6 linked regions of the Oryctolagus cuniculus genome follow. The protein of the gene in region 2 interacts with the protein of the main gene of each other region in a pairwise test. Links are inferred from orthologs where the notes say so. Each region holds a gene or a part of one and is shown on either strand. Other genes may lie near its edges.

Region 1 (3,961 bases), on a different chromosome or scaffold from region 2:
GGCCTGGAGGGTGAATTTAGTCTAGTGCCCTTAAAAATGTCTTTTTTTTTCTTTCCCCCTCTTGACAAGTCCACGTGATGGACTTTAGGAAAACCCGCAAAGCCCTGGCTTTGTGGTACAGTGGGTTAAGCTGCAGTTTGCAATGCTGTCATCCCACAGCTGGAGTGTTGGCTCAAGTCCTGGCTACTCTGCTTTCCATCCAGCTTCCTGTTAACGTGCCTGGGAAGGCAGCAAAAGATGATCCAAGGAGTCGGGCCCCTGCCACTCACATGGGAGACCAGGATGGAGTTCCTGGTTTCTGGCTGCTGCCTGGTGCAGCCCTAGCTATTAAAGCCATTTTGAGGACCTCTCTCTCTCCTCTCTCTCTCTCTGACTCTGCCTTTCAAATAAATAAAGTTTTTTTTTAAAAAATGTACAACAAAAACATTCAAATAAAAAGAAATTAACTACTATTATTATGTGATTATGCATATATACATATTGCGGTTACATATAATATGTATGCATAGGACTTTGAAGCAACTTTTAATAATTCAACATTCCGTTAGCATTTCACCATATCTTTAAATATATTTTAAGTGCATCATTTTGGTGGCTGCATACTGTTCCTCACCAGACCGTGGCGAAGGATGTGACGCGGGCCCTGCCGCGGTTAGGTTACACGAAGCCACTGGCACAGCGTGCATTTGCGTAACCAGACCTCCTGATAAGCGCTGCTGTTTCCGCATCATCTCACTAAGCCGACTACTGCTGGGTTACTACTGACATTTGCTCAGTTTGGAGCCACTTCCTTTGCAAATTTCGGGACGGCCGGATATGCAAGGTTTTAGAAAGACCTCTCTTCTGACGGACAGGGACAGGTCTGCGGTCACACAGCAAATTAGGGACAAAGACAGGACTAGGAACCTGCCCGAGGCCCCGACTAGTGCCATTTCCAGCTGGATCCCCAGAGGAAGGCCTAACCCGAGAAGTAGGGAGAAGACAGGAAAAGAGCCAGGCGCCAGCTCCCGCAGCCGCCGGGAGGACACCGGGCCGGCAGGGGCGGGGCTGTGAGTCGCCTCCAGCGCGCAGCCGAAGCTAAGCGGTCGCTTGGCAACCTGGGCGCCGCGGCGTTCGAACGGAAGCGAGGAACCAATCAGGAAGTCCGGAGCGAACCATTCCGGGGAAGTTGCGGGGTGGGGAGCGGCGGGCCCACTTCCCTTTCCTCCGCGACCCGGGGACCTTCGCTCCGGGGAGGCCTTCGGAAACACCGGGACACCTGCGCGTCTCAGGTGCCGCGCGCAGCTCCGAAGAGGCTCCTGCGGGTCGCCGCGCGGGGCTGGGACCTGCCTGCGTTGGGCGCGGCCACCCCCGGCCCGGGTCCGAGCTGTCAACCTCACACGCCTAGCGCGGGCTCCAGGTGAGCTCGGGGGTGGTCCCGGTTGCGAGCCCGGGTGTTGGGAGTTGCGTCCGCCCAGCGCTCCCGGGCGTCCTCCCCGCGTATGATCTGCGTGCCATTTCAGATACGGAAGCTGAAACTCAGAAGGACGAGGGTCCTAGGCCGTCTTTTTTTACCCCTGCGCAGCCGCTAAGGCTAGGCAGGTGCAAATTTGCCTTGAGAGGCCCAGAGGTAACCGGCGGTTGCTTTCCCAGTCTGTCCTCGGCACGGATACGGCCCTTGAACTCCTGGCTGGATTACCTTGCCCACTCGGCACCGTCCTCAGGAGACCCAGCGCGCCTGGGGCCCTTCTGCTGTCGGGGGTTCTGAATCCCAACACCCCCTCCCAGGGCCCTCTTTCTGGGGATGGGAGGGGACCGACGTTTCCAGGATAGATGCCAAGTGGGCAGTAGATTCTTGAACCCTCGGAGACGCTGTTGTCTTCTTGGGAACCTGCCTGGGGTCGGGAGAGGGGTTGAAGCAGTCCCTAAACACTGGGGGTGGGGTTGGGGCTGGGGCCCTCCAGGTGGAGCCTCTGAGCTGGGCCAGACCCTGCTCTGCCTCCTGGGGACCCCTCTCCCTGCACCTGCTCTTGTTGGTCTCCTTTGGTAGGTGGGGGAACAGCTTCCTCCTTGAAGGAGGTAGGCTCCTTGCCCGAAGTCACCTGGTCCATCTGGCTTCAGTCTTAGAATCCTCCACTCAGAGAACTGCAGAATTCGAATCCTGAATCTCATCACAAGAGAGTTACTTATTCTCTTCCCTTCTGGACCCGTTTCCTGGCTTTGGGGAGAAGAGCTCAGAAAATTCAGAAAGAAAAGCCTTTCATCCATTCCTTCCACAAATAGTTATTTATTTTCATTTTATTTGCAAGGCAGGGAGACAGACAGAGAGTGATCATCCATCTGCTGGTTCACTCCCCAGATGCCCACAACAGTCAGAACTGGGCCAGGCTGAAGCCAAGCGCTCCGAACTTCATCCAGGACTCCCACGGGGGTGGCAGAGTCCCAAGCACTTGTGCTACTTCCTAGGGCGTGGGTGGGTACTTCAGTATGGGCTGTGGGTGTCCCAAGTGGCGGCTGAACTGCTGTGCCCAGTGCCTGCCCTCGGGAAGTGGTTGTTGACTGCGTGTCCTACCCTCCCCTGATGTCTCATTTTCCTCGTTTGCTCTGTCCTGTGTCCTATAAATTCTGCTTGCTAGCGAGTTGATTATCTTCTCCCAGTAGAAGGCGATGAAGGTGGGGGCTGGGAGGAGGCATGCATCGCTGGCACACACTTCCTGCGGTGGCCGTGATCTCCGTCATGGAGTTAAGTGAAGTGAACCGGTGTGTTCCCCTGGTGAGGCACAGACTTGTGTGGCTCCTGGGGCACGCGGTCCTATCTCTGCTGCAATCGCCAATGCATCCCTTGGCCCCAGCCGCCCCATTTCAGGCAAAATGTAGGCGCAGTGACGCTGCAGCGTGGTTGGTGACAGTGGCTGTCAGTGGGGACCAGGGAAACAAATGGGGGGGGGTACGCTCTGTCTACTGACGTGGCAGCAAGAGCAACATACTGTGCGCCAAGGAAGAGCAGGTGAAAACAGTCTACGCAGCGTGGTGCCATGTGTGTACAAAGGAAATCATTAGTGTTCATACTTGCTTGGTTTTGCCTAAAATTTTTCCGGCCCCAGTGGTGCCTGTGGGGGGTGGTGGTAGTGAGGACAGAGGTGGAGGGAGTTGTGTTTTTTTTTTTTAACTTTATTTCCTTTATAGTTTGAATTTTGAGCCATGTGCATGCATTACCTCATTGAAAACAATAATCATACACACACACACACACACGTGTCTCATGAGACCGTCACTCTGTATGACTTGTCTCTGACTTGCTGTGTGACTTTGGCAAGTTTCTTCACATCTCTGGGCTGAGATGAGAAGCCAGGATGGTGAGCTCAGGTCTGAGCAGAGGGCAATCTAGGCCGTGAAGTGGGCTTGGCTGTGCGCCTGCCTCAACGGCCAGCCTCCGCATCCTGGGCCGGGCCCTTCCCCGAGGCCCTGTGTGTGGTGTCTCTCGTTCCATTCCCACTACGAGCCCCTCTGTCCTCATTTTGCAACCTCTGGTGCCAACTGAGGCCCGGGAGATTGGGTCCTTGGGGGCGGGCATGCGGGCAGGCCAGGCAGGAGTTCAGTGCCCTGGGCATCCACACCCACACCCCTCCCACAGCCTGCTCGGCTCTGCCTTCCTGAGACGAGGGCAAGGCCGGCTCCTGGGCAGGCCAGGGCACGAGCGTCTGGGAAGCCTCCAGAAATAGCTTGAGGCCTAGCGTGGCCTTGGAGGACGCCCAGCCGGGTGTCTCTGCCCTGGACAGCTGGGCTGAAACCGAGCTGCGGCTGCTACTGCTTGGAGCCTTGCTGATCCTCTGCTGGGGCAGGCGAGGGCCTCACCGTCTGCACCCAAGGCCAGGAGAGAAGCAGGTGGAAGGAAGGGGAGGGGCCTCCTGCCCACTCCACAGAGGACCAAAGTTCCCAGCACCACTTGAACGCTGACTATGTGCTAAGCACTTGACAAGTG
Region 2 (3,739 bases):
GCTGGAGCCCCTGTCTCCGCGCACCCACAGCCACGCTGGAGGCTCAGGGAGTGGTTCTAGCAGTTCTGGGGCGGATGGGGAGCCCTGGGGGGGTCAGGTGAGTGCGAGAGGCGCAACCCGCAGCATCCAGGCAGGGGAGACCCGGATCCTGGCTCTGGGGGGTTGCATGGCCCTGGGTTCTCGGTGGCCATCTGGCTGGCTCAGGGCACACGTCCTCCCTGCAGGACTCCCTCTCCCTGGCTCACCCGCTGCTCCGGCGCATCCGGAGTGACTCCAGTGTGCACATCCTGGGCTCTCTCCCCTCGCGACCCCTGGCCCCCGAGATGCAGATCCTGGAGGCCCAGATGGAACAGCTCCGCGGGTGAGCGCCACCACTGCTGAGCTTTTAAGGGCACCGGCCGCTGTCCTGCCGCCCCGGGGATGGGCGTCTAAGCCCCGGGGATGGGCGTCTAAACGGGGTAGGAGCGGGGTGGAAACTGGCCCCTGGCTGCTCCCCCCCTCCAAAGAGTCCCCTCGTTTTCCCTCTCCCTCCCCCACCCCGAGACAGAAACATCGAGAAGCTCAAATGCTTCAACCGGCTGCTACTGGCCGTGCTGCAAGGGCGCAAGGGCCGGTGTGAGAGCCTCAGCATGCGGCTGAGCCAGCGGGAAGCCGAGGCTACAGCCCTGCGGCTGGCGCTGCAGGACAGGTCAGGGGAGAGGTCCCCGCGGGGGAGGGGCCGCGAGCCACGGCGTGGGAGGGCGCTCAGGACCCCCGTCCCGCAGTGAGCACCGTGAGGCCGTGTGCGCGGCTCTCCTGGCCCTGCACGAGGCCAGCTCCGGAGCGCGGGACTTGGAGGCCACTGAGAGGGAGGCGTGGCGGCTGCTGGCACAGGAGGAGGGCGGCGCAGACGCCGCGGCACCGCGGAAGGCACAGCCAAGGTAGGCGCCCGGGGACCGCGCTGGGCCTTGGGGCTCCCCGGGGCTGGCCTCCGTGATGGCCTGCGGCACCCACTCCTCCTCTCCTCCCGCAGCCCCGAGGGCAGCAGTGTGGATAAACCCACACCGCAGGAAGTGGCCGCCCTGCTGCAGGGCTATGCCCGGCGTCTGCGGCAGCGCCAGGCTCTGGTGAAGACCCCCCCAGAGCCGGGCCCCACCGTGGAGCCCACGCCCACCATGCCCCACGCAGAAGCCATGGTGCAGGCCATGCTGGAAGCCCAGCCCGGCCCGGCCCTGCCGCGGTTGGAGAAGATGGAGATACAGAGGGAACTGGTGGCCACACGGGTACACAGGGGCTGTGGTCCCTGGGGGGGGGGGGTCAGAACCGACAGAGGTGTGGTTGGGATGGGGAGGGGGAAAGGTTCTGCTGGGCTGGGAAGGGCTTCCTGGAGGGAGAATTGAAGCTGGGGTTTTGAGGGATGAATAGGAGTTTTGTTACTCACAGACCTCTCAATCCAGTTTTTCCCAAACGTGCTCGCCAGCCTCAGTTTCCCCTCCCCGACCCCTCAGGAGACCCTGGCGGACCTGATGTTGCAGCTGCAGCTGGTGCGGCGGGAGAAGCGGGGCCTGGAGCTGCGGGAGGCGGCGCTGCGCGCCCAGGGCCCCGCCCACGCACTCCTGCTGGAGCAGCTACAGTGGGAGCGCGCGCAGCTGGGAGCCGCGGGGCCCCACAGCGGCGCGGGGGACAGCAGCGGGGCGGGCAGCAGCGAGGAGGAGGAGGAGGAGCGGCCCCAGGTGAGCGGCCCTTCGGGGGTCGCTGCCCTTGGCCCCTAGGGGTTCAGTGGATGAGAGAGAGAGAGGGAGAGAGGTCTTCCATCTGCCGGTTCACTCCCCACATGGCTGCAAAGGCCGGGTCTGGGCCAGGAGCCGGGAGCTCCATCCGGGTCTCCCACGTGGGCGGCAGGACCCAAGCCCTGGAGTCGTGGGCCCCTGCCTCCCAGGGGGCGCATGCGCAGGGAGCTGGGGCGCACGCAGATCAGCTGGGACGCCACCAACACTCTGATACGGCCACGGCTGTCCCAGGCAGCAGCCCGCCCCGCGGTGCCACCACACCGCCCCTGCCCCAGGCTTCTAAACGGGGCTCTTCGCATCACCCCTCCCACCTGCAAGCCGGTGCTGCCACCAGGAATGTCCACCGTCTCCAGGAAGCCCTCCTGGGTTGCCCTCAAAGGAGCAATATTCGGCACCCCACCCCACCCCGGCCCTGTGACTTATCTCCCTTATCAGGGACTTGAGGGTCTCTTAGCAGAATGGGGGCTCTGGGAAGCGAGGGGCTCTGGCTGCCCCCCCCCCAGGCCAGCTTCTATGCCCAGGCTGGGCTGAGCACTTCTAGACAGAGGTCACCTCCCTCCCTTCTGTCTCCTACAGGGTCCTCCTGCTGTCCCCAACGCCACCGAGGGAGGCCAGGTGGGCAGGGCGTGGGACCCGGAGAGGTTAGCCCAGGAGCTGGCCGCTTCGCTCGCCAGGTGTGTGCCTGGGTGGGTTCTGCGGAGGAGGCGGGGGTGGGGACGTGTGTGTGTGTGTGTGTGTGTGTGTGTGTGTGTGGTGTGGCAGCGTGCGCCTGCGCGCAGGGGCGTGGGGAGCGGAGAGGAGGACCGGGTCGGGCCGCGGCCGGAGCCCCGCTGTCTCCACTCCCGCGCCAGGGCCGCGGATCTTCGCGCTCAGCTGCGGGCTCTGTGGCGGGAGCTGGAGCAGGTGGCTCAGAAGGGGCGCGTCCGGCGGGCTCAGAGCGCCGAGCTGAACAGCGATCTATGCAAGGCGCACAGGTGGGCCGCCGCCCCCCGCAGCCCACCCCTGCTGACCGCGGGTGTGTCCCTGGGCCTCGTTCCCCCCACTTGGAAGATAGTGAGCGGGTGCAGTGCAGGCCACGCCTTTCCTGCAGGATGCCCGGAGCCAGCTAGGACGTAGCCCCGCCCCCGCGGCGCCCCGCCCCGCCCCCGCCGCAGCCCTGGGTGGGGTGGGGGTGCTGTTCTCTGGGGTGGGGCGCTGTTCCCCGGCTCAGCCACCCACACCCTGCAGTGCCCTGGTCCTGGCGTTCAGAGGCGCCCACCGGAAGCAGGAGGAGCAGCGGCGCAAGTTGGAGGAGCAGGTGGCAATCCTGGAGGCCCGGCAGGCGGAGGAGTTGGCAGCACTGGAAGCCACGGCCCGGGCGCTGGAACAGCCCGGGTGCCCCTGCCCGCCTCCTCCCCCCCAGCTTGGGGAGACCTTGCTGTAGGCTCCACCCCCAGCCACGTGTCATAAACCGGCCTGGAGTGACTTGTCGCCCTGGGGTGCATGTGTCCTCATGGGTGGGGACCGGTTGCCTGGGCCACCGGGGTCAGGCTGTGAAGGTCATGGTCTCCCCCTCCCCCCCCCGGGACCCGGAACAATCAATCCAGGGGACAGGGAAGGTGGCAGAGCCCGAGCTGATGTCCCCAAGTCCTTTCTTTGTCCAGAAACCCAGGGCGGGCCCCTGGGGACAGGACACTCGTCCCCTGCCCATCTGCTTCCCAGGGAACAATCCAGAACAACTGGAGGCCCCCAAGGTTGGGGTTCAGGTTCAGGTTCAAGGCGTGGATGGTCGGCTGGAAGAGGAATCAGGGTTTGTGGAGGCTGAGGGCAGGCATCAGAGAAAAGTCTGGAACTCTCGATGCGTGTCCTTCCGGGGAGGGGGTGGGGCACAGGCCTGCCGGGCCCTGGGCAGCCTGGGAGCTTCCAGATCTCCCGCGGAGGTTGGGGGCAGCGGGAGGCGTTCCTGCCAGGTTAATTGCAGGCGACTGATT
Region 3 (4,249 bases), on a different chromosome or scaffold from region 2:
TTTTCCTTGTAGTAAGGAGGATTAGATGGAACAGATTAATTTGCCTTGCAAAATGGGCATAAACAGTGGAAATATCCCAGATCACTGGCACAAAAGCAGAGCAGTACACACTTTCTTGTAGTTACCTTCATTAAATGATGAGGTCTTAGGGTAGGAAGCTGTATAAAGACAAATAACCATGCTGCTCACTGTAAAAAATGTATACGTAGTTAGAGACTTTTCATATTCTTCCTATAGAAAGAAAGATCCCGATGGAATTACAAAAATTACATAGAGGACTCTAACGATGATTATTGACTTCTTCGTGGTTTATCTTCATGACAACACTATGAAGAAAAGCTGAATTAGATCTGAGACCAAGAGTATCACATACCAGTATACCAATTCTAGAAATAAATAGGAACTTGAAACCTTTCCTTGCTAATAGAACAAACCAAATTGCAAATAACTGTTTTTATCCATATTCAATCCTAAAGTTGTGGTTTGACCCTCCTCATAAGTTCCCTGGCTCTGTGACTAAGACATGAAAATGTTTAGGAAAATTCAAGAAACCACCCTGTGGATAAACTCACATACAATACAAAAACTAATCCACTTTTGGTTGCAATATATTAGCTAGATAGAATTTCTTTTAATTAATCCCATGAAGTTTGCCCTAACTCCAATGCTTCTGAAAAATACAAACACTAGGAACTTTATATCTGCAAGACAAACAGACTCAGAAGTTGTGGTGAATGGTGAACTAAATATTAGGCAACACTGCTTTGCAAATGCCAAAAATGATTTAGTGATATTATACTGAATTTAAATTATTTAGTGCCCAGAATAAGATTCTGCTCAGCTCTAGTTGGGAGATTCTAGAAATGATGCAGATGTCACTGCCAAGTACATTAAATTCTTAAGCAAGAATCAAGAACCCAAACTCAAATATCACAAAAAGTAATGTTACAACAAGATATTTAGGCTAAAGGAAGACCAGGCAAAGTAGAAGCAAGGGAAAATAAGTGCAGGGCAATCAGAAAAGGAACTAGCACAGTTTTAATTAGCCTTATATGAAAAACAATTACCAGTGGCAGAAAGGTACAGAAAAACAGATTCTGGTTGAAAACTAGCTTTCCATATTAGCTTTAAAGTCGGTAAGTATTGAGTAAGAGAAATAAAAAAATTTTATAAAATAGGAAGAAAGAATCCAAGGGGCTTAGTTACTCTGCTTAATTATATTTCCATAAGACCAGCTTCCAATTTTATATAACAAAAAGAAAGACACAAAATATAGGTAGTTCTGCAAGTCATATTTTATAAAGGATAATCTGTCAGTGGTGATTAAGCTACTGCAAAATTCCAGATGAGAAAAGTGATTAACTATTATAGATAGTGGCACTGGGAACAGAAAAAAGGATTTTAGAAACATTTTTAGATGGAGCACATGGGGCTTATGATTTCTACAGGGTCTTTTTCAATAACATTTACCATGCAAATCTAGCCATTCACCCAATAAAAATAACAGTAGTAGCAAATACATACTGCTTACTGTGTGTCAGACAATGCTCTAATTATTTTACAAATATATTTAGATGTTTTATCAATTAATTAATTTCATTCTCAAAAACTATATATTGTATTCTATAATCACCTCCAATTAACAGATGAGCAACTAAGGCACCAATGTCACTCAGTGGAAAAAAATACACCAAAGAACCAGTAAGCGGTTAGATAACAAGCTTTGTGCCTAGATAGTACAATTCCATGGTTAAAGCTCTTAATAAACTCAACAACTGCTAAAAAAAAAAAAGCCAACCAAGTCCAAGGCAGGCAGTGAGTAGCAATGTCAACAGCTCAGTCTAGGGAAGGAATATCTGGGGGAGGGGGGAGTACAGAAGGTGTAAGGATCTGACTGTATCAGAATCATGTAAGTTGTTAAAAACAAATTCGTATTGAATCCAAATCTCTAGAAATGAGAACTAGAAATCAGCATTCTAATTTTATACTAGCATAAAAAAGCAAAAACAAAAACAAAGCCTGGATAGTTTTGTAGCAGAACCAAGTTTGGAAACTCCTGTAACAGATCTCTAAAGCGTCTTCCTGCTTTAACAGTCTAGTTGACACTATATACTAATTTCTCAGAAATGAGGAAGGAATCCTGGCACCAGAACATCTGTGCATTTATTTAGAGTTCACATTGTTTTTTTTTGTTTTTTTAAGAATCGTTTTATTTAATAAATACAAATTCCATAGGTACAGCTTTTTGAATATAGCGGTCACATAGTTTACGTTCCCAATTTGGCTAAACGATCCTCCAAGGAACAAGGAGAGACCAGGTAATAGAAGGAAGAGTGTGTCCACGGAATGCTGGCTAAACAGCGGGTTTTATTCTAGGCTTCTCTAGCACCATGAGCAAAAAGAAATCTTTCCAGATTAGAAATACGTGTTGTAATCCGACCCGTCATCTAGCCAATGATGGATATCAATATATTCTTTCAACATTCCTAACCTCCTACGTTGGGGCCTGCCTACTCTGAGGCCAGGTGAATCCGGCGCAACAAAAAGAGGGTCTGCTCTGCAAAGGCACACCTCAAGTCCCCTACTCCCAAAGACAGCCCGCTCCGCACATACCTGAGGGTCCTCTAGTAAGATTGATTTCTTCCTCGGTGATTAAGTAATCCACTCTTCCGTTCATGTTTTACCGCTCCTATTCGGTTCAGCTGGGGCTCTGCCCAGGTGAAGGTGAATCAATCTCCGCGCTGCGGTCTAAGAACAGCACTTCCGGTTCGCGCAGCCTCCGGGCCGGAAGAGGAAGTGCGCCGCGCTCAGAGCGCTCGGAATGCTGGGAGTCGTGGTTCTCACAGCCGATCGGTTGTGTTCTCTCGTTGAGTGTTCCGAGAAAACTGTGAGGTCAGCAAGCCGCAAGTTATTGACCGGCGAAAGTACTTGGGAAAAGTAAGGTTGGGGTGGAGGGAGGCTAGTTAAGGTAGTGGACGTAAAGAAATTGATATTGCTGAGGAAAAATCTAAAAGGAATCTTGGCATCTCAAAATTTCCACAAATATAGAAAAGAAAATTTTGTTATTCTGTGAGCATCAAACTAGACTGGGATGGACGTTACAGGCAATCCATTGATGAGATTGCCAAAATGAAAAATCTCGTATAAGCCAAGTAGGTACAAACCATAACATGCTTGTCCTTACATAGAGGACTTGACAACACCATTTGTTATCCACTCTCTGATGGTTCACCTTTGGGGTGGCCTTCTGTGTTAGTTAATACAGGTTAGCAAAGGAAAAGTAATACTTTGCTCTCTGTATGACAAGCTGTTGCGTAAAGATTAGTGTAAACCACTTGGGTTAACTTCCATAGTAAGAGGAGATAGGAGCACTGTTTTCCCTGATATTAACATTGGGAAGAGATGGTTCCCAGGACCTTAAGTAAAAGATTCCTGGATTGTTGCTGACAAAAGCCTTATTTAATTTTAAGAAATTTAAGGGGCTGGTGCTGTGTCCTGATGGGTAAAGTGGCCGCCTGCAGTGTCCTCATTCTATATGGGCATTACTTCAAGTTCCAGCTCTCTGGTGTGGCCTGGGAAAGCAGTACCCAGTGGTACTGCACCTGTGTGGGAGACCTGGAAGAAGCTACTGGCTCCAGGCTTTGGATTGGCCCAGCTCTGGCTGTTGTGGACATTTGGGCAGTGAACCAGCGGATGGAAGACCTCTCACTCTCTCTGTGTAACTCTGCCTTTCAAATAAATAAATCTTTTATTTTTTAAAAGGAAGATATATATATATATACATAAACATTCAAATTTAAGGAATAGAGAGTGGGGCAAAGTCTACAAATTGATGCTACTGGGAAAAATAGGCTAAGGATGGAAGATTAGAGCAGTGATACACACTTAATTCTATATGTATTAGGCTAAGATGGAAGTGTACTTCATTCACAGTAAAGAACTAGAGATGGATGGTCAAAGGCTAATAGAGGAGCTCCTCAGTCACCAAGGAATCAGATTCCTTTCATCTTTCTATAACCCCTTCAGTTCTCATCCTTAGAGTGTGGCCTTTACTTCATGGCCCAAGATGGTTACGATGGTTTTTGGAACTTCAGCCTTCATATTCACATTTCAAGAAGGGAATGAAATGGCAAAGAGAACCTATTGGAAGTTTCATATATTTCTTGTATCTCCTTGAATAGAAGCCTATTACATGATTATATTTAACTATGAGAGAGACATAGAATATGCCATGTTTTAGTGGGATGGA
Region 4 (4,033 bases), on a different chromosome or scaffold from region 2:
CCCAGAGCAGCTCCAGCCTCTCCGGGACCCAGGGGCAGGGAGGGAGGCTGCAGGCAGAGCCCCCACCCCGCCCGCCGCCCCACACCCTCCTGTGGCACCAGCCTGCCCACAGCCATGCTCAGAGCCGGCGTGCGCCTGCACGCTCACACCCACACGCATCCCCGCAGGTGGCCGGCCGCGGCCCTCCCAGCTCGCCCACTGCCCGGCGCTGGGCACGCAGCCACACGGTGCCTCGGAGAGCCCCTCGCTTTACCAACGCTCTCCTTTCAGAACGCCGCGGGGGTCTCCATGGAGGCTGGGAGCCTCGAAGGCGGTGAGGGAGGATCAGCCATGGGCTGGAGGGCGTTATTTTTGGGTGGGGGAGCTGACAGCAGCAGCCCACCCGGAGCACAGACAGGAGACCCCAGCCTGAACTTCGAGACCAGGCGACACCTGCAGGCGCAGGGCAGAGCCATGGATCACCCTACAAGGTGCAGCACGCGCAGGGCCAGAGCCCAGAAGGGGCTCTAACGCCAGGGTCCCTCCCCTTTGGGCACCAAACACCTGGGCGCCGAACGCTAACACCTGCGGCCACGAAGGCCTTGGTGCACCTGCCGCTCCTGGGCACTTGGGAGAAACCCCGAGGGCTGGGCCGCCGAGTCACAGCCCTCATGGTAACCAGGACCCTGGGGAGGCTTCCCAGTGCCCTGCCGCCTGAGAGGGGTCCCGGGGTTGAAAGCAGCCCCCACCTCAGTCCAGCCAAGACGAACTGAGGCCGGGGGAGGGGCACTGACACCCCCAAATTCCCTGCTGTGTTTGCAGGCAGCAGGGGGTCTGAGCAGGACTGGCGCAGCCGCCGTGTCCTCCTTGGCTAACCGGCACTGGGGGTAGGGGGCTGGGATGGCCCCCGGGACCCTGGCACTGTGGCCCAGGCAGCAGCGCCGGGTCTTCAGCCCACCCAGGCCCCCATGGGAGCCAGCCTGGGCCCACGACCCCCGCTCCTGAGTGCCCAAGCTGCCGTGAGGCTGCGGCCTGACCTGGGCATCCCGGAATCTGGCCGAGGTCCGCGTGTGGCCTGGGTGACCGCTGGCTCCAGCCCCTGCCGGGCACCTCTGCCCCGGTCATCTCCCCCTTGGCAGATGAGGGACAGGAGGCTCCCAGCCCGCCCGCACCCCCATCCCGCAGGGTCTTGGGGCCACCAGCTGCGGGTGAGGGGGCAGCCCCCGGTGCTCCGGTGGGTGGGTTCCTCACACTGGGGCTTGCCTTGCCCTGCCCTGCCCGGCCCTCTCCACCTAGACCGGCCTGGGTTCCAGGAGTGTAGAGAGAGGAGGAAGAGACCCCGGACCCCACTCGCCCACCGGGGGAAACGCCACGCCCCTCCCCAAACCCACGCAGGATGCACCCACGCCCCAGTCCAGCCTCTGCGCTGCCACCCACGGAGAGCCCCCCCCCCCTGCGCCTCCTCCCACTCTGAAGGAGGTGCCCCGGGGTGGGTGGGTGAAGGGTGAGTCTGGGAGACCCCCAAGGGGCACAGAGCCAGCCGGTGGGGAAGTCCCCGGGGACCACGCTCCGGCGCTGTGGAAGGGGAGCCGGAAGAGGGACGTGGGGAGGGGGCTCCACTTTCCAGCAGACGTTGGGGGCCGAGGAGCTGCCGGGACGACAGGAGCAGGGCTCGCAGCCGGAGCTGGGGGCCAGGGCTTCTCCAAAGTAGCACTCGGGGCAGGGACACGGGACGGAGAGAACGAGGGGCCGCGGGTGAGGGTCCCGCTGGGGGAAAGCCGGGGGGCGGTGTCCCAGCGGCTCCGCGTCCCTGCTCCGGGACGGCGCGGATTCGTGGAAGTCGAGGGAGGGGACGGGGTGGGGGTCGTCTCGGTCCCGGGAGGGGGACCCGCGACACGGGGGGGGGCCGGGAGTTCGCGCTCTGGGACGCCGAGGGGCGCGCTGAGGGTTGGGCCGGGGTCCCCCGCGGGGAGAAGGGGGCGTCAGGTGCCGGCGGGGTCCTACTCACGTCCAGGATGACGGCGGTGCCCCCGCGCAGCGCGGCGGGGCCGGGGCCGGGGCCGGGGTCCGCAGCGGGGGCGGCGGGGACGCCGGGGGCGTCGGGGACCAGCGGCGCCCGGGGCTCGCCCATCCTGGCGCCCACCCAGCGCAGCAGCCCGCCTAGCGCCCGGCCCTGCGGCGGCGGCTCCCGGAGCAGCCTGTGCGCGCCGGCCCTGCACAGGCGCGCCGCCCGCTCGCACATCGCGCCCGCCGCCGCCGCCGCCGCCCGGAAGCCCGCCGACCCCCGCCCGCCCCCGCACGACCCCCTCCCCGCGCCGCCCCGCCCCGCTTCTCCGTCCCCGAGGCCGCGGACACCGCGGGGCCGGGCGCGGGGGAGGGGGGGCCCGGACCCCGAGCCACGTGCCCGGCTCCGCCGCCCCCACCCGCGCCAGCCGGGCGCGGCCTCGGGGGGGGGCTGCCGGCCGGGGACGGGGCGCGGCCTGGTGACCCCAGCGGGCCCGGAGGTGGAGGGGTTTCCCGCAGCGCCGGGGTAGGTTTTGGGGGGCGGGGTGCTCCCCGGGGGCTACCTCCTGAAAGTCTCCTGCTACCCCCCAAAGTCCCTCCTCCCACTCGTGGCGCCGTTGCAGGGGCCGGAGCGCCCTCTGCTGGCTGCAGCTCCAGGGGCCCGCGCCCTGCGCCTGCTGCTCCGCGCCGCTGGGGGGGGGGGCAGCCACCATCCCCTTGGCCCGGCTGCCGCCCCCTCGGACCTCCCTTTCCATTCTGGGCGCCCAGAGCACCTTTCCCTGCCACTCCACGCGCCCACACTCTTCACTACCCACCCACTCGTGCACCTGCCCCCCCCACGCCTGTGAGCGCCCTCCCCTCCTGCCCATCGTCTGTAGCGGAAGTGGGGAGCGCCCGCCCCACGGCCACAGACATCAAGCGTGGCAAGTGCAGGTGGGATTTGCAATTGCGGCTACAGCAGGCTAACCTGAGGTTATACATAGCCAAGTGGCCCCTGGCCGGAGAAGGGACCCCACCCCTGAGGGGCTGGTGCCGAAGAACCCAGCGGGCGAAGGCTTCCTGCTTGGTGCCAGGCAAGAAAGACACGGAGACACGGACTGTTCCCAACCACGTGGGCAGAGGCGGCCCCTGAAATGATGCCGCCGATGAGTGAGCAGCAAGAGCTCAACCCTAGAGGGAGTGATCCTTACGCTGGGAGAGCGGAAGGCAGGAGCTCAAGGGGCTGTGCAAAGGCCCTGGGGCCCACAGGAAGGGCCTGAAAGCAGACAGTGCGGCTGGAACAGGGTGGGAGGGGAGAGGCGGCTCCAGCCAGCTGCCCAATCAACTGCCCCCACATTAGGGCCCCGTCCCCTGTCACCCCCTCCCCTACAGCTCCTCCAGGACCCCACCCCCTCCCCTGCGCCCAGGGCTGTGCACCCAGCCGCCTCGCCAAGCACAGTCCTCAGGAGTGGAGGCAGGCACTGGTTTTATTTGGGGCCCGGAGTCCTCGTGGCTGGGTGCCCTGCTGGCCCCTGGCGACCCCCGCTCTTGCTGGCAGCCTCCCGCCCACGTCCCAGGTGTGGCCCAGCTGTGGCCTCGCTCCCGCCGTGGGCTAAGCCGGGGCAGGGTGAGTTCCCCACTGCTTCTGACCCGGAAGGCCGGTCGCCTGGGCTCACGGCCCCTGCCGCCTCCTGCGGGCAGAGGCCGGCTTGCCGCTCCGGGGCTCCCGCTCGGGCCGCGCTGACCGCCCGCCTCTTCAGGGCCTGGCTGCTGCGAGCCGAGGGCCGGCGCTAGGGCGGCCGCCCCGCCTCCTTTTTCTGCAGGGAGCTGGCCGCGGCCAGCGCCCCGCCCTGCACGAAGCGCACGAAGTTGTCCCCGGCCAGCGGGCCCACGGCGTACAGGCCCTCCTGCCGCGCGCTCTGGTAGGTGAACGGGTCCACGTCGACCGGGTTCCTCCGGGCGCTGAGCGGCTGCGCGGGCTCCACAGCCAGGGCGGCGCCGGCGCCGGGCAGGAAGGAGAGGTCGGGGTGCGAGCCGATGAGCACCAGCACGAGCGAGACGCCGAGCACGG
Region 5 (4,158 bases), on a different chromosome or scaffold from region 2:
GTGAGCCGAGCATTTAAGACACCTTGAAATGTGACAGCTTAGGCCATCAAAGGGACAGCTGTGGCCTCTATACAAGTTCCCTACGCAGAAGGGATAAAGCCTGCACTTGCAGTGTGACCTCTGCTACTGGTTCCCCAGGAGTAGGCGAACCTACCCATCTGCAGAGCTCCCAGCCGTGAGCAATCATCACCCTCCTAGCAACGAACACCCAGGCCCCGGCGCCCCGCATCTCCTCTCCCCGATCCTCTCATTACCCCTCCTATCGCTAACCACTGAGGACCCTGAGCCGGGAGAGGCAGGCAGCCTTCCCTGGGCCCAGGAGCACAGTGCAGGCCAGGCAGGATGGAACGCACTTGGCTGACTCCAGGGCCACACTGCTGACCACCACGCCTCGAGAGAGCCCACTGTTTGGGATCTAGACAGAGTACTTGCCACCAGCACGCTGTGTCTGGGCCCCACACAAAAGCCCTCCCCAGAGTAGGGCTGCATGGCCACGTTGAAGGGAAGGAGCCAGGGCCCCCAGAGAGTCCACCAGACCAGACACAGCTGTGGGTCCAAGAATTAAAAGACATGTGGAGTGCAACGCACCTACCAGGGTTTGGCCCGAGGCTGTGCCCAGTGCAGGAGGACCATGGTCACTCCTGCCAGGGCTGTCGGAGGGCTCTGCTCACGTGCTAACAGCCCGTCCACAGCACGGGGTGCCCCCACCCCGATCCTGCGGGAGTTCAGGTGAGAGAAGCACATAGCACCCCCAAGGCTGACAATGCAGACGGCTGCAGAGGGACCCACATTTCACACGCTGAGGGCCTGTTTTACCTTCAACCTTGGAGTCACTCAGAAAAGCCAGGGTTGAAAGGAGGGGTGAAAAGGAGCTAGAGGAGAAGCTGAGAGACCCTGAGGGGAGGTTTAAAAAAAAGGGGAAGTCAGGGGAAGGAGAGATTAAATCAGCATCCACGAAGCTGCTTCTGATGAAATCAAAGAGAAAGTTCTCTCCATACCTGTAGGAAAGGAGGAGTACTGATGAGTCATGCCCTTGTCACTCAGAAAAACAGCCATCAGCCAGGGACCCCACCAACGCCCTGGGGACACCACAGGGGCAGCTAGGCCCGGATCTGGAAGCCACCTTCTCCGTGTCCTTTTAGTTTCTATCCAAGAGTTTCAATCTGCTACATCCGACCCCAGGCACAACAGAAATGGCCTGGGAGCCGGGAAGACCCGGGAGGTTTAGAATCAGTGAGAGGTATGTCCCCAACACGGGGGCCACCGTGGAGAGAGAGAGAGAGAGAGAGAGAGAGAGAGAAAGAGAGGTGTTTGCGTTCCATGGCACTCTGTCCCCTCTGAAGGGCGGGGTCCTTAAACACTTTAAAAGGTCATTCCCATCTGCAACGCGACCACCCTCTTAAAACCGGCCCTTAGAGGGCCCCCTGCCCTCTCCAGGAGTGGGGCCTTTTCCCCGACGGCCCCATGAGCCCCCTCTCCTTCCCCAGGGCCAAGCTCGGGCACGGACATCCCCTCTGCGGTGCCCCAGCCGTTACCTCGCTTGAACTCCTCCAGGACGGCGTCCAGCTTGGTGTCGTTGAAGACGAAGTGCAGCGGGTGGTTGTAGAAGCGCGTAATGGTGCTCAGAGGCGTGCAGTCTTCCGGGTCCACGAAGGCCAAGTCCTTGAGGTAGAGCATGTCCACGATGTTGGAGCGCTCCTCCTCGTACACGGGGATGCGCGTGTGGCCGCTCTGCATGATGCTGGCCAGGACGCCGAAGTCCAGCACGGCGCTGGCGTCCAGCATGAAGCAGTCCTCGAGCGGCGTGAGCACGTCCTCCACCGTCCGGTAGCGCAGCACGCCCTTGCTGAGGTCGCTGTAGGGGTCGCCACCGCCGCGTGCCAGCTCCAGAACGCGCTCGCGCAGCCGCCCGGGGCGCGCCGCCAACTCCAGCAGTTGCCCCACGGGCAGCGCCACCGGTAAGGTGAGCAGCACCGCCAGGCGGCTGAGGCCGAGCGCGCGCGGCGCCAGCGCCAGCGCCCAGCGCCCGCTCACGGCGGCCGGCACCACCTCGCCCACTAGGAACACCAGCCCCGCGCAGCCCAGCACGGCGGGCACGGCGCGCTGGCCGGCTGCGCGGTACAGCAGCACCGCCAGCGCCGCCTGCGCCAGGCTGGCCAGCAGCAGCAGCGCGCCCAGGGCGCAGCCGGCCCAGCGCCGCGCGGGCTCCAGTCGCCGCGCCGCCGCACGCTCCGCCTCCGAGCCGCTCTCGCGAAGCACCTGCACCTCGGCCGGCGCCAGCGCCAGCGCACTCAGCTGCAGGCCCCGCGCCAGCGCCGCCAGCGCCAGCAGCCCGGCCGCCCCCAAGCCCAGCGCCCAGGGTGGCGCCGCCTCCTCAGCCGCCCCGCCGCCCGGCTCCACGCGCACAGCTAGCAGCGCCGAGTGCGGGCGCACGGTCTCGGAGCGCAGGCACAGCAGCGCGCGCCACTCGTCCGTGGGGGCCGCCCCCGCCTCCTCCTCGGGCGCCGCGGTCGACCCACTCTCGGGGCAGCCCGACCCCTTCGGGGCCACCCAGGTCCAAGAGCTATTGGCGAACCCGGAGCCGAAGAGGCGCAGGCGGAAGGTGGCCTCCGGCGCGGCCCGCACCGCTCCTCCGTCCTCCTCCAGACAGAAGCCCAACACTCGCAGACCTGGCGTCGCCTCCCCCGCGGCGTTGCCCAGGCAGAGCGCGGCGAACAACCAGCCCAGCCGACCCGCCGCCGCCGCCGCCGCCGCCATCGCCTGCTGCCCCCTCTCGGCCTCTCGCGCAGCCTACCCCGCTCGTCCCGCGGCCTCCGCCTCCCGCGGCCCAATCATGACCGGCCTTCGCGCCCCCTCGGCCAATAGACGGCGGGCGGGGGCGGGCCCTAGGGTCGGACTAGGCTGCGCCGGGGAGTAAACAAGCGGCGGCGCGGGGCGGGCCGGGGGCGTGGGGTTCTCCGCCCCAGCGAGCCCCGCCGCCGCTCCGAAGGCACTGGGTGGCCGGCTCTCGGAGGACGCGGAGCCGCGAGCTGGGGCGTGGCGGGGCGGGCAGGGCCTCCGACCCGTCCCGAGGCCTCGCGGGAGCCGCGGGCCCTTGCTCGGGACTGGAGCACTGAGCGGGAGCGGGTGCTCGCCTGAGCCGCGGGTCCCGGCGTACCTGAAGTTGCTGACGGAGATGGAAGCGAGTGGGAGCGTGCTGTTTTCCTAGGAACGGGCCCTGGGAGCCAGAACCAGCGGCTGGGGTTGTGCCGAGGTTTAACTGCGGCTGTAGGCCCCGGGACGCCAACACAGGCCCTGTCTTCAAGGAACTCGCTTTCCCGCCGGGGAGACGTGTGGTGGAAACGTGCACACGAGATCCCAGCCTCACTGGATCCTCACAGCTACTCGGTGTAACTAGTGTCTGACAGGAGAAAGGCGAAGTCCAGGAAGACTCCGCGGGCGTGTTGGGTTCCGAGGCGTCGGGACGCCCCGGCCACCACCGCCACCGCCGTAGCCGCGATGTCAGGAATCCCTGCCCGGCTCCTGGCAGTCCGTCAGTCCGAGGCCGAGAAACTCGCACGGCCTTTCTAGTCTAACTGCATTCAGGCTGGCCCCTGCAGCTGAGCTGTATTATTTCTTCTCTACACTTTTGCGGTGTTTTTTTTTTTTGTTTGTTTGTTTGTTTTTTTTTTTTTTTTTTTTTTTTTTAAGGCGGATAGCCCCGTGCCAACTTGCTCTGTCATGAAAACGACAGTTTATAAGTTTAGGGGAAGATGTTTAGCATGGCAGTTAAGAAGCCCCTTGGGACACCACATTCCATATAGGCATCTGGACTTGAGTCCCAGCTCCACTCCCGATCCCAGTTTCCTGATCATCTGCACCCTGGGAGGCAGCAAGATGGCTCCAGGATTTGGGTCCTGGCCACCCACATGGGTCGATCCAGATTGAGTTTCCAGGTCTGGCCTCCTCCTGGCCCAGCCCTGGCTGTTGGCAGCATTTAGGGAGTGGACCAGCGGATGGCAGATTCTTTCTCTGTCTCTGCCAGTCATATAACTTAAAAAAAATTGTTTAAAAAATTAAAAAGTACGCAGAGTGGCCACAATCAAGTGAAACATATCTGTGTGGAAAGTAATGTGCAAAAATGAGTCTGACCAAGGGGGAAACATTTTGTGAAAAACT
Region 6 (4,181 bases), on a different chromosome or scaffold from region 2:
CTGTAAGAATGTAAATGATGGGGCCAGATCATCCACCCAGCTTAGCAGGCTAAGCTGCTGTCTGTCAACACCAGTATCCCACGTGGGTACCGGGTTGAGTCCCAGCTGCTCCACTTCCGATCCAGCTCTCTACTAACGTGGCTGGGAAAGCAGCGGAAGATGGCCCAAGTGCTTGGGCCCCTGCACCCACGTGGGTCTTGAGGCCTGCGTGGAGTTCCAGGTTCCTGGTTTCAGCTTAGCCCAGCCCCGGCCGCTGTGGCCACTTGGGGAGTGAATCAGCGGATGGAGGCTCTCTCACTTCTCTCTGTAACTCTGCCTTTCAAATAAATAAATAAATAAATCTCAAAAAACAAACAAAAAGAATGTAAACGATAAAGGCAAGTTCTGTTCAAGGCTATATCCCTAACACTTAGAATCATACTTTGTACACGACATTCAGGAAATGTTATCTGAGGGGCTGGCACTGTGGCATAATGGGTTAAGCCACTGCCTGCCATGCCGGCATTCCATATGGGCGCTGGGTCAAGTCCTCGCTGCTCCTCTTCAGATCCAGCTCCCTGCTAAGGTGCCTGGGAAAGCAGCAGAGGATGGCCCAAGTGCTTGGGCCCCCGCACCCACGTGGGAGACCCAGAGGTAGCTCCTGATTCCTGGCTTCTGCCTGGCCCAGCCCTGGCCATTATGGCTGTTAACTCTGCCCTTCAAATAAATATTTAAAAAAAAAATAAAGATTATTGAATGGCTAACTTGACAATTTAAAGAAGTCCAGCGACCTTCAGATGCCGAGCGATCACTGTGCACAACTGCTGCTCAGCCACACTGCCTTGCTGACCGGTTTCAGTGCTTCCCTGAAAGGAGTGAATCTGGGATGTCTTCTTAGAACACATCTCTGCAAACCTGACGGTGCCAAGAGTGCCGCGCTGTAAGAGTCCGCTTTCCCAGTCTCAGTCTCGGCCATGAGTCACCGGCTGGAAGAGCCGAGCCCTCAGCGCCGCCCTGCTTCCAGGCAGCCGGCACCACCGCGGCCCTAGTCTCTCCTGGACAGCTCTCCATCCTGCACAGCCAGCCGTTAACTCCGCGAGCAGTCCCCTGGCCATCATGTTTCTGAGGCCTGTTTCTCATATTCCTTTCCAAATAGGAATCCCTGGGCCAGGCATCTGGGGAGGCTTGAGCCCACGTCAGTTCCTGTGAATGTGCACCCTGGGAGGCAGCAGCTCAGGTCCCTGCCACCTGCTTAGGAGACCCGAACGGGGTTCCGGTCTCCTGGCTTCAGCCCGGCCCAGCCCCAGCTGTGGCAGGCATTTTGGGGGTGAACCAGTCTCTGTCCCCTTCTCTCTCTGTCTTTCAAGTGAGGAGGAAAACTGCCTGCTTCCCATATAAGAGTGCCTGGATTCAAAACCCAAGTCTGCTCCCCTGTTCCAGCTTTCTGCTCACGAAGACCCTGGGCAGTGGTCATGGCCTCCTGCCACCCAGGTGGGACCTGGATGACTCCAGCTCCTGGTTTCCACCCAGCCCTGGTGTTGTGGGCACTGGAGAGTGAACCAGCAGGTAGGATTGATCTCTCTCTCGGCCTTGCAAATTAAAAAAGTATATATGATTACCTGAAATCCAGATGTAGCCCCAAATCTGGCTTGTTTAGTAGAGTGATTCCAGTTTAAAGTCTAATTACACCCATCAGCCTGGAACCAAAGTTAATGGATAACTCTCCCCACCCCTTCACCTGCCCCTGAACAGCCTGTAACTGTACCTGGACTGCGAGTAAGCCTTTCCTATGGATGTCAATCAAGACTCCATCACTAGCTTAAACCCACAGCACCCTAACCCTGCTGTCCTTCGGTAGCACCGGTAATTTCTACCCGATTCTATTCTCCAACAGGGCAAGCATTTGGAAAAACACGGATCCGTTTAGCAATCAGAAAAGGCTGTAGAGCTACCAGTTTGATTATTTAATGCTGAATTTAAGGCTTCTGCCACTGTCTTCACAAAGTACAGTCAGCACTTAGTCCACGCACGGATATTATCATTTTGGTAGCGAGAAGACCTGCGTTCCGCCTCTGCCCTGGCACAAGGCTCAGCCGCCGGGCCCGGTTTCAGGGCACCCTCCCTCCCGGCCAGTTTCCAGGGGACCCTCGCTCCCGGCCAGCCCCGCCTGCGGACCGGTTTCAGGGGACCCCCGCTCCCGGCCAGCCCCGCCTGCGGACCGGTTTCCAGGGACCCCCGCTCCCGGCCAGCCCCGCCTGCGGACCGGTTCCAGGGGACCCCCGCTCCCGGCCAGCCCCGCCTGCGGACCGGTTCCAGGGGACCCCCGCTCCCGGCCAGCCCCGCCTGCGGAGCTGCTGGAACGACCAGGAAATTCCAGCCTCGGGCTCGCCGTCTCCCCGTCCACGCACACGTGAACCCCGCCGCGCCCCGCACTTGCAGCCGGCTCGCCCTGCCCCGCCGCGCAGCCCCCCGACCGCAGTCGAGCGGACCGAGGGGACCCCTACTCCGGGGCCGAAAGCGTCCGTCGGACGTGGCACCGGCCCACGGACCCGCGCCCGGCGTCGCTCCCTCCCAGCCCTTCCGACCGTCCCGCAACTCGCACCTCCCACTCATGGCGGACGCTCCACGCAGCCTGGCGTCGAGGCCCCGGCCGACTCCACCACAGCCCGAGCGCAGGCAACACCGGCAACCTCGCTCCGAGTCGCCACTCTGAGAGCCGTTGAGCCCCGCGGAATTTCAAACCCAGACGTGAGGCGGGGCGGCCCGGCGATTGGCGCCGCAGCCCGCGGCTCCTCGCGAAGCCCCGCCCCCGCCCCGCCCCGCGGCGTGGAGCCGCCAATGCGCAATCGTGAACCCGCGCCAGGGCTCGGGGCGGGGTCTGAGGTCACTGCGCGTGCGCCCGGCGCCGTCCCGGCGTCCTCCGAGCCCCGGGTCCGGGCTGCAGCCGCGAGAGCGCTATGCCCCGTGGCTACCTGCCGCCGGCGGGCGGCGGAGGTGACCTATTGGAAAATCCTGTTTCCCTGGTCTCTCCGGAAGACCTGGGAACTGATCCTTGATGGAATCTTGCCCAGATGTAGGAAACCGCATCCGGAAGGGGAGGGGAGGAGCACGTCCCTTCCACTCTGGTTATCGCACGTAACTCTGCTGGACAGAGGAACCAAAGTCACTAGTCAGAAGTCCCTTCTGCTTCCCCCGCCCCGCCGCCCACCACAGCCCCTGCCTTAGGAGAGCTACTGAAAACGTGGCAGCGTTAAGCGGGCTGACGGGGAGTTAGGTTTGAGCTCCCTCGGGACTCCCTTATTTTACTTATTTTTGCCTTTAGGTGGCTGCAGGCAATGTACTCATTTTGGTTACGTAACAAAGTTCGTGGGAAATGGACTGAAAAGGCGAACGCAGGTGCGGGCGTTAAGCCAACACCCCATCTTGAGTGACTGGACCCCAGTCCCAGCTCTGCCCACATGAGCGTCCGGTTAGTGCCCACCCTGAAAACAGCAGGTTGGCTCAAGCAGTCTGGTCCCTGCCCCCATGTGGGAGCCCCGGGTGGGGTTCCAGGCTTCCAGCTTTGGCCTGGCCTGGTCTTAGCTGTTGTGGGCTTCTGTGGAGTGAACCCGTGAATGGAAGATCTGTCTCCCTCTACCTCTACTCTGCCTTTCGAATGAGTAAAAATAAAAAGGATTCAGAAAGTTTTGGGGAGTTCACAGATGTGTATTATGAAAAAAAAAAATACATATTTTCTAACAATTTTTTGCACCAGAATAAACTTATAAGTCCACATTCTACAAACTTTTTGTAGTCTCGTATAATTGTTACATGCAAAAAATTCACAACAAAACCAGTATCACCATACTTTTGTACCTTCCATTTCTGAAGAACACAGACTACATCCCTAAATGCCTATATGTCAGTTTCCCTAAGTATCTTGGCATGTGGCTATTTCATAATCCAACTATTTTGCTATTGATACTTACATCGTAATTATTTTATGCAATTTAGTTTTGAGATTTATTTATTTGGAAGGCAGTTACAGGGAGAGGGAGAGACAGAGAGAGATCTTACAGCCGCTGGTTCACTCCTCAGGTACCCTCAGTAGCTGGGACTGATCACTGCCTTCCCAGGTGCGTTAGCAGGAACCTGGATCAGAAGCAGAGCCTGGACTCAAATGTGCACTCTGGGGGCCTGAAGCACCAGCATCCCATATGGGC

What was found. The genes of interacting proteins can lie anywhere in the genome.
Region 1: the proteins of USHBP1 (region 2) and FAM110A interact in binary tests that used the Homo sapiens proteins (3 or more experiments, as listed by UniProt). The two-hybrid records come from large-scale screens. The link is inferred for Oryctolagus cuniculus from reciprocal best matches to the Homo sapiens genes USHBP1 and FAM110A.
Region 3: the proteins of USHBP1 (region 2) and SYNJ2BP interact in binary tests that used the Homo sapiens proteins (3 or more experiments, as listed by UniProt). The two-hybrid records come from large-scale screens. The link is inferred for Oryctolagus cuniculus from reciprocal best matches to the Homo sapiens genes USHBP1 and SYNJ2BP.
Region 4: the proteins of USHBP1 (region 2) and NECAB2 interact in binary tests that used the Homo sapiens proteins (3 or more experiments, as listed by UniProt). The two-hybrid records come from large-scale screens. The link is inferred for Oryctolagus cuniculus from reciprocal best matches to the Homo sapiens genes USHBP1 and NECAB2.
Region 5: the proteins of USHBP1 (region 2) and CNNM3 interact in binary tests that used the Homo sapiens proteins (3 or more experiments, as listed by UniProt). The two-hybrid records come from large-scale screens. The link is inferred for Oryctolagus cuniculus from reciprocal best matches to the Homo sapiens genes USHBP1 and CNNM3.
Region 6: the proteins of USHBP1 (region 2) and PRC1 interact in a two-hybrid assay, tested with the Homo sapiens proteins (2 studies listed by BioGRID and IntAct). The link is inferred for Oryctolagus cuniculus from reciprocal best matches to the Homo sapiens genes USHBP1 and PRC1.

Annotation. Positions count from the first base shown.
Region 1 is NC_091442.1:26,831,846-26,835,806, forward strand, and holds the start of FAM110A (protein FAM110A), read left to right. Parts: upstream 1-1,161; 5' UTR 1,162-1,399; intron 1,400-3,961.
Region 2 is NC_091447.1:65,254,492-65,258,230, reverse strand, and holds the end of USHBP1 (harmonin-binding protein USHBP1), read left to right. Parts: coding exon 1-97; intron 98-224; coding exon 225-361; intron 362-547; coding exon 548-688; intron 689-764; coding exon 765-920; intron 921-1,012; coding exon 1,013-1,262; intron 1,263-1,487; coding exon 1,488-1,712; intron 1,713-2,345; coding exon 2,346-2,443; intron 2,444-2,620; coding exon 2,621-2,743; intron 2,744-2,996; coding exon 2,997-3,192; 3' UTR 3,193-3,239; downstream 3,240-3,739.
Region 3 is NC_091451.1:16,186,463-16,190,711, forward strand, and holds the start of SYNJ2BP (synaptojanin-2-binding protein), read right to left. Parts: upstream 2,801-4,249; 5' UTR 2,678-2,800; coding exon 2,614-2,677; intron 1-2,613. UniProt on the Homo sapiens protein: Regulates endocytosis of activin type 2 receptor kinases through the Ral/RALBP1-dependent pathway and may be involved in suppression of activin-induced signal transduction.
Region 4 is NC_091449.1:65,750,950-65,754,982, reverse strand, and holds the start of NECAB2 (N-terminal EF-hand calcium-binding protein 2), read right to left. Parts: upstream 2,801-4,033; 5' UTR 2,222-2,800; coding exon 1,988-2,221; intron 1-1,987. Other genes in the region: OSGIN1 (oxidative stress-induced growth inhibitor 1), read right to left, coding at 3,753-4,033. UniProt on the Homo sapiens protein: May act as a signaling scaffold protein that senses intracellular calcium.
Region 5 is NC_091433.1:110,906,312-110,910,469, forward strand, and holds the start of CNNM3 (metal transporter CNNM3), read right to left. Parts: upstream 2,801-4,158; 5' UTR 2,758-2,800; coding exon 1,536-2,757; intron 1-1,535. UniProt on the Homo sapiens protein: Probable metal transporter.
Region 6 is NC_091443.1:100,286,682-100,290,862, reverse strand, and holds the start of PRC1 (protein regulator of cytokinesis 1), read right to left. Parts: upstream 2,801-4,181; 5' UTR 2,593-2,800; coding exon 2,582-2,592; intron 1-2,581. UniProt on the Homo sapiens protein: Key regulator of cytokinesis that cross-links antiparrallel microtubules at an average distance of 35 nM. Essential for controlling the spatiotemporal formation of the midzone and successful cytokinesis.